2 linked regions of the Caenorhabditis elegans genome follow. The protein of the gene in region 1 interacts with the protein of each later gene in a pairwise test. Each region holds a gene or a part of one and is shown on either strand. Other genes may lie near its edges. The genes, in order: mdh-1 and pqn-54.

Region 1 (3,795 bases):
AGGCACACGCTGTTAATCTGAGTGGGTCTCGCCACGATCGTGGTAGCTATAAATGCCAAAATTCACAACATTTTCACCTAGTCTCACTATTTTAAAAGTGAATTTTTTCAACGAAAAGTAGTTGCTTCTGCAAAAACTGATATTTACAAATTTGGAACAATTGGTCAAGTACAAATTTACACAAGGGATATTCAAAAGATTCAGAGATAAACTTTCATTAAAAATTGTTTAAAAATTAAAAAATGATTTTCTTTAGTCAATTTACTATTACTACTGCGACTATGCATTTAAAATTCGTTTAATTATTTCTAGATCTTCTATTTAAGTGCACAGTCTAAAAAGTTGCATAAATTTAATTCTAAAAAAGCAAACATCTCTGTTTCAACGATCAAAATGGGAGGAAAAAGCCATAGAAACGCCTGGGGACAGGTCGTTATCCAACACGGAAGGAATAAGGATTGCTGGAATGAATGGTCAACACACCGCCTCTTCCTCGTACCCTCATTTCGCTACTTCTCGCGATTCTCTCGCCTAGAACCTGCTTTCTGTACAGATGATTTGTCTTCTTCTTTATTCTTGCAAACCCATATCCTCCACGTTGGCAGATTGATTGCTAGCTTCCAGAAATAAACAGATATACGAAATCAGAAACGAGTCACAAGTTATTTCGAAAGATAGATTGAAACAATTCGATCCGAAGATGCAATAAATTCATTGTTCAATAACTGAATACATAATACATTTACAAAAACGACAAGACGGCCTACTTCTTTTTTTACATTTTAAGTTTAAGGGAGCGGTTGGGAAATCGTTATAATTTATGGGGAAAATTTAGATGTTGGCATCATCGCAAGCCTTTAGAGCATCATCTCTCTCCTCCTCGAGTTCCTTGGTGGTAGCAGCGATCTTTCCCTTGGCAAAATCGTCGAAGCTAAGACCTTGAACAATCTTCCATTCGCCACCCTCGATGGTAACTGGGAATGAGAAAATGAGTCCTTGTGGGATTCCGTATGAACCATCGGATGGGACAGCCATGGAGACGAATTGCCCCTGGAAAATAAAATCTTCATTCAAGTTTTAAAATAATTAAACTTACAGCCTTGGTTCCGAAATGCCAGTCGTGGATGTGATCACAAGCGGCCTTAGCGGCAGACATTGCAGACGAGAGCTTTCTCTTCTCAATGATGACTCCTCCACGCTTTTGGACAGTGGCGATGAATGGTCCTTGAAGGAAAGCGTTGTCTCCGACAGCGGCGTAAGCGTCGGTCTCAGTTCCGTTCTTGTTAACGGTAGCGTGGGTGACATCTGGGAATTGAGTTCCAGAGTGATTTCCCCAGATGATAACGTTCTTGACATTTCCGATGGTTGTTCCGGTTTTAAGGGCGAGTTGAGCAAGAGCACGGTTATGGTCCAATCTGGTCATGGCAGAGAAGTTCTTGGCTGGGATCTTTCCGGCGGCGTACTTGGCAGCAATGAATGCATTGGTGTTGGCTGGGTTTCCAACAACGATAACCTGAAAGTAATGGAAATATTGAAAGTTTAACTGTGAATTCTGATCTCACCTTGGTGGTTGGCTTGGCATACTCAGCAAGAGCCTTTCCTTGTGACTTGAAGATCTTGACGTTGGCAGCAAGAAGATCTTTGCGCTCCATTCCCTCGCGTCTTGGCATGGCTCCGACCAAGAAAGCGTAGTCGATACCGGTGAAGGCCGACTTTTCATCAGTGACAGCAACAACGCTGAAAAGGGTTGGAAGAGCACAATCCTGGAGCTCAAAAACAACTCCTTCGAGAATGTTGGAGCATTGTGGGACGTCGAGAAGAACGAGCTCCACTGGTTGTTCCTTTCCGAATACAGTTCCGTCGGCGATGCGGATGACGATCGAGTAACCGATCTGACCAGCGGCTCCGGTGACCAAAACGCGAAGTGGGGCGGACATTCTGAAAATTTAGCAATTTACACTAAGAAATGTGTGAATCGAAGCAAATAGAATATTCAGACAATTCGAGAATTCAATAAAAAATGTCCGGAGAAAAAACTGCCGAAACGCACGTTTTAGAGGAGCAAAAATGAAAATGAAAGAGAAAGAACAACAAAAACGATTGACCAGATAAAGAGATTGTTGTCGAATCATAAAATAACAGTTGGAAGTGATAAGATGTAAAAGATTTTTGTGGTACACACTTCTATGTATTGAAGACGAACCAAACAAATAGAAAAAAATAATAGTCCAGCTAAGGAAGCGAGGCAACGAGAGATGACGTGAACAGAAGAGACTATTGGCGCCGCCCGTGGTTTTCTCTCGTTTCGCTGTCCAACGAAGCACTCTCAACTTGTCAACAAACCCTACGGCGCCGAACGTTTCAAATCGATGGCACTTTGAACAGAACTTGAGAAACGAGAGCGTGTATTGATTTGATCCACGAAATAGATAAGAATTTGTAAAATCACCGAGTAAAATTAGAAAATTTCGCGAAGATAGGAGAAAAAATGCAGAAAACAAAATCGTAAAACTCCATGTTGAGTAGGCAGAAAATGCGCTCTAATGGGAAAATTCGTTGGCGCTAATTCAAATCGAGAATTTTAGAGAATTGAAAATAAATAGAAACATTAAATATTTTCAGAATTATTAGTGAGTCCTCGCAAAACCAAAAGAGCAGACAAAGCAACAAATAAATGATTATCACTGGGAGATTCCCGATGACCAAGGCCGACCGCTGTAAACTAGACAAGTGAAAAGAGAGAGTGAGAATGGCAGAAAAGTTGTTGTTTGTCACGTAAACTGCCGAAGAGAATACGCCCTCCAAGACACGAGGTCATCAGAGAGAAGAGCAAAAAAAAGTGAAAATCTGCACAAAAAGATCTACTCGGAGAAGTGTAGAATGAAAACTTTCACGTCAAATCTCGAGGTTTTAGAGAACTTTTATAAGCGCAATGAGAAGAAAGGTCATTTGTAAATAAGCGGCGACAAAGTAGCGGTTATAAAACGGAGGAAACTTTAACCGCGGTTAAAGTTCAAAGAACGATTTCGCACATGACGCGTGGATCATTGATGAGTGTTCAGTTATGAATGATCACCTGAACATAAATTTAATACATAAAATGCAGAAAATTGAGAAAAGAAACAGTCAAAACCGAAGAAAAGGGAGAAAACGAGAAAAATCGATGAAGATTTGACAGAAAAATTAATATAGTAATCTTAAAGGCGCACACACCAAAAATTTTTAATAATTTGCCGCGCGTGTCGAGACCATTCCGCGTAATAAATGTGTCCCCCTTTAAAGTCGTAGCAGTGAAAAAAATTTTTTTGGAAAGGCAAAAAACAATAGAAAAAACCGTCATAAACCACTGGAAAAAGTGTAAAATGAATAGAAATGTCAAAGTGGGCTTGATGATCACCGAAACACTAGAAACGAAGATAGAATTCAGAAATTTGCGGGTAGAGCAAATCCAAATGTCAAAAAAATCTGTAAAGCAGTCTCCGGAAAAATGGGCGGTTCTTTCTCTCGCGCAATTTTTTTCCTGTATTTTTTTCATTTAATAAATGTGACCATCATGCCTGAGAAATGTGACCATCATGCCTAAGAAAAAACAGCATGTGTCTTTAAACTGACATGTTAAAATTTCGCGAAATTACGAGTGTGTAAAAGGTTTCGAAAAGTTCACCAAGAAAAGGGTTGAATTTAAAAAATTAGATTTCACAAAAACACATATGTTAATATGCGCACATATACTGTATGAACATAATTTTTCAGTCCAAGAGATATTGTCTTATTCTATTACCTTCCGAAACTATT
Region 2 (3,827 bases), 5.1 Mb from region 1:
ATTAGACTTGGTTCTATGGTGACCGAGACATATCGATAGGAAACATTTTTTCGTAATATGCAACCATCATGTGTCATTTGAAAGTGTTTCATGAGGCTATGTCACTGCAAAATTTTAAGCGGCAAAGCTCTACTCTCAACCCCAAAAATTTCGATCTTAAATTGTTTCAGGCCAGTAGAATTGGTCCTGATTTTTTTTGTGCAAATTTTCAATGTTTTTTAGAACGGCTAGAAATAAGTTTACATTCTGGGAAATTTTTAAAAATTTTAAAAAATTTTTGAAAAAAAAATCTAAAAATTTCCTCAATCCACTCCACTCGGTTCAAAAATTTTTCAGATTTTTTGAAAAAATTTAAAAATTTTCAAAAATTTTCCAGAATGCTTACCTACTTTTAACCGTTTTGAAAAACATTGAAAGTTTGCAACAAAAAAAATTTGGAGCAATTCTACAGGCCTCCAAAGTAGTGAAGAAGTGCACTGTAACAGTTTCAGATCGATGCTAGAGGGGTTGAGAGTGGAGCTTTGCCGCTTAAAATTTTGTAGTAATATATCCTTATGGAACACTTTTAAATGGCACTTGTCTCGTTTTGAAGTCTGACATTAAAAAATAAAATAAAATAAAAACCTTTCCTTGAAAAGCGGCCATGTTATTTTTTAGTGCTAATCTAGTCAATAAACTGTGAGCCAGCTATAAGTTTTGTAGTCATTGTTCATTTTCTAGACAATAAAAAACCAAATAATGTAAATCAATTAAAATATCAAAGTTGTTTATTAAGTTCTTGTGAAACTAATTGGTTTCATTATATACAAAAACTTGAAGTCATTGTTCAGAGTCCGTTCACTTTCTTCTACAGCACTGTCCATTTCCGCATGGAGAGTAGTTAGCTTGGCAGGAGCACGAGTTTTGTGGGCTTTGTGGGCTCTGCTGGCAAGCCGTAGTCGCTGGCTGAGCGGCTTGGCAGGAGCTGGAGCACGAGTCCTGGCAGGCAGACTGGCACTGAGCGGCTGGTTGTTGTTGCTGAACGCATTGCTGCTGGCACGACTGCTCGCATTGTGGAGTACACTGGGAGGACTGGGCGACGGAGGATTGGAGAACGATTTGGATCACAGCTTGGGAAGATGCTGGGGCGGATGTGCTGGCATCGTATGGGTTGTACATTGGAGCTGGAGTCTGAGAAGTGCAGGAGTTGTCACAGGCTGGCTGGCAGGCTGGGGCGCAGTTGGCGGATCCGGAACCTTGGTTGTTGTTGTTGTATGGATTGTACATTTGGGTGTTGGTGTTAGAGTTCTGGTTGTAGACCTGTTGAGTGGCTTGAGCAGTTTGTTGGCAAATGTTGGAGCACTGGCTGTTACAAGCCGAATTGCACTGGTTAGCTGGCTGTTGTTGTTGGGTGCAGGATGATTGACACTGTTGCTGGCACTGTGGTTGGCATTGAGCTTGAGCCTGTTGGATCTCGAGTTGGATGTGGACTACTTGTGGTGCCTGAGTGGATGTGGCTGGAGCATCGCAGGCAACGTTGCACTGTTGCTGGCATTGTGGCTGGCATTGGGAAGCTGGTTGTTGTTGCTGAACACAGGTGGATTGGCACTGCTGTTGGCACATTGGCTGGCATTGGACGACTGGAGCTGGTGTGGTGGTGGCTGGTGGATTGTACATTGGAGCGCACTGGGATTGGCACTGCTGTTGGCATTGTGGCTGGCACTGGGCTACCGATGGTGCAGCCTGGCATTGTTGGGTGCAGCTCTGTTGGCAAGCTGGAGCACATTGAGTGGTTTGGACCTGAAAGTCTCTCTTTGGAGCTATAGCATAAGTTTGCTAGTAACCTGAACATTCTGGGTTTGTTGTGGTTGAGCGCAAGAGCATGATGGGGATTGTTGCTGAACTGGAGCAGATTGGCACGAGCACGATTGAGTCTGTTGAACCTGTTGGCACGAGCATTGGCTCTGCTGGGGTTGAGCACATCCGCATTGTCTCTTCTCACGAAGCACATTGCCCTGAAAATTAATATTCGTAGACTCAAATTTTTAGATCTTGCACAACTTACAGACACCACTAGGGCGCAGGCGAAGAAGGCAATGGCGAGGGAGGTGAAGCGCATGATTAGAGCCGAAAGTATCGGATGAGTATTTCCATTTGATTGTGGGCTTATATACCATCTCGCTTGAAACTATCCCAACCATCTTCCGCCTTCTCATGCCGCGCGGCAAACAATTTATCGCGTGAAAAAGTGTTCGGTAAGACGAGCAAAGATGAAAAAAAAAGAGACGGTGAGCAGTGCACTCGAGTGGCCTATTCAAATAATCTTTGATTGACAAGAGAAAAAATTCATGATGTATGTGCACCAACACTTTGTTGAACTTCCTGCCCGTTATCACAGAATATATAGAGGTTATCGCTAACATGGAAATCAGTAAGTGTGTCGCGGGCGATGGAAGTGCAGAGATTTCCAGTTTGATTCCTGTGACAATGACTTTTCAACAACCGAATAATCGACGAAACAGTGGCACCCTTTCGAAAACGAGCATATTTTTGTATTGTGCCTATATTTCGACATGCTTGGTGAGTGTAGAGGGAATTTAAAACTAGGAAGAAAAAAAAAGAAATTCGCATACTTTTATAAACTTCAAAATTGTTTTTTAGTTCAATGTGGAAAAACATGAACATTCAATTTTTCGATACTATTTACAGGAAGACAGGGCTTGGTCATTCTGTGTCTCTCTTTGTATGGACCTGATGGGTGGTATGAGAGTGGTTTCCATTGAGCAGCTTTTCGAGGGAGTCTTGCAAATGTTTCTCAGCGGATATTTAGGAAAGCATTTCGACGGGCTCTCGAGGAAACGGGGTACGGTAGACAACTAAACGATCCCGTGGTGTCAGCCTGCCTCATTGCGGTTCGATCTACGACAAATGGGAATATTTTACCAGAAAAATTGTGACGTCAGCACGCTCTTAACCATGCAAAATCAGATGAGATCTCTGCGTCTCTTCTCTCGCATTTTTCGAAGATCACAGCAAAATGGGACGTTCTGACTCCACGTGAACGATTCATTTTTACAAATTTCGATTACTGCAAAAATGATTTGTTCAAGTATCACATTGACCTAACAAAAACTACAATCAAATACTTATTTCGTGAGTATTTGTAAGAGAAAATCAAGTTTTCAATTTCAGCAATCATGACCGTCGTACCGTTGAACAATTTGAGTATTTGTGCTGCAGCTGCTCTTATTATCAGTGAGTTCTAATTTGACACTGATGTAGGTACTCGAAGCTAAAATATTTTAAGCTTGTCTGTCTATCGATGCCACGTCACCGTGGTACATAGTCTGCCTGGTTCTAGCAATGTGCATATGCGCGGTGAACCGGCTTTTCCTGAACGCGGAAAAGTTCATCACAGGCAGAGATTGGGTTATGGTACTCGGAAATGATGGTACACTGTCGAATATGAACGCAACTCTGTTGACATTGGATCAATGTACCAATGTTATTGCACCGTTAGTAACTGGTGTTAGTTCTGTGTTCGCTTTTTAATTCCAAAGTAAAAACAAACTAAGTTAAGGCTCTGGTGACCTGGGTTGGTCTTCGTGAAACAGTTGGAATATTTGGTATAGCCTCTCTTGTTTCAATGGCTTCAAAAACCATTTTCCTTAGAGCAATCTACATCTCCAATCCTCTGCTTCAAGTGAAGAAAGACAAGAAAGATGAAGCGCTAGACCCATTCGCCAATTCAAGGCTCAAAGAATCTGTGGTTTACACGTACTGGTGCCAGATCTCATTCCCAGCTGCATTTGGAATGAGTCTTCTATTCATGACAGTGATGGGATTTG

Evidence for each region.
Region 2: the proteins of mdh-1 (region 1) and pqn-54 interact in a two-hybrid assay, tested with the Caenorhabditis elegans proteins (one large-scale study listed by BioGRID).

What each region holds. Positions count from the first base shown.
Region 1 is NC_003283.11:6,514,589-6,518,383, forward strand, and holds mdh-1 (Malate dehydrogenase, cytoplasmic), read right to left. Parts: upstream 1,939-3,795; 5' UTR 1,938-1,938; coding exon 1,563-1,937; intron 1,514-1,562; coding exon 1,097-1,513; intron 1,051-1,096; coding exon 832-1,050; 3' UTR 695-831; downstream 1-694. Other genes in the region: F46E10.3 (F-box domain-containing protein), read left to right, coding at 3,736-3,795. UniProt on the Caenorhabditis elegans protein: Catalyzes the reversible conversion of (S)-malate to oxaloacetate in the cytoplasm where oxaloacetate is used for gluconeogenesis.
Region 2 is NC_003283.11:1,463,285-1,467,111, reverse strand, and holds pqn-54 (Prion-like-(Q/N-rich)-domain-bearing protein), read right to left. Parts: upstream 2,123-3,827; 5' UTR 2,099-2,122; coding exon 2,045-2,098; intron 1,995-2,044; coding exon 1,824-1,994; intron 1,780-1,823; coding exon 838-1,779; 3' UTR 752-837; downstream 1-751. Other genes in the region: fpn-1.2 (Solute carrier family 40 member), read left to right, coding at 2,467-2,559, 2,689-2,842, 3,172-3,234, 3,287-3,507, 3,560-3,827.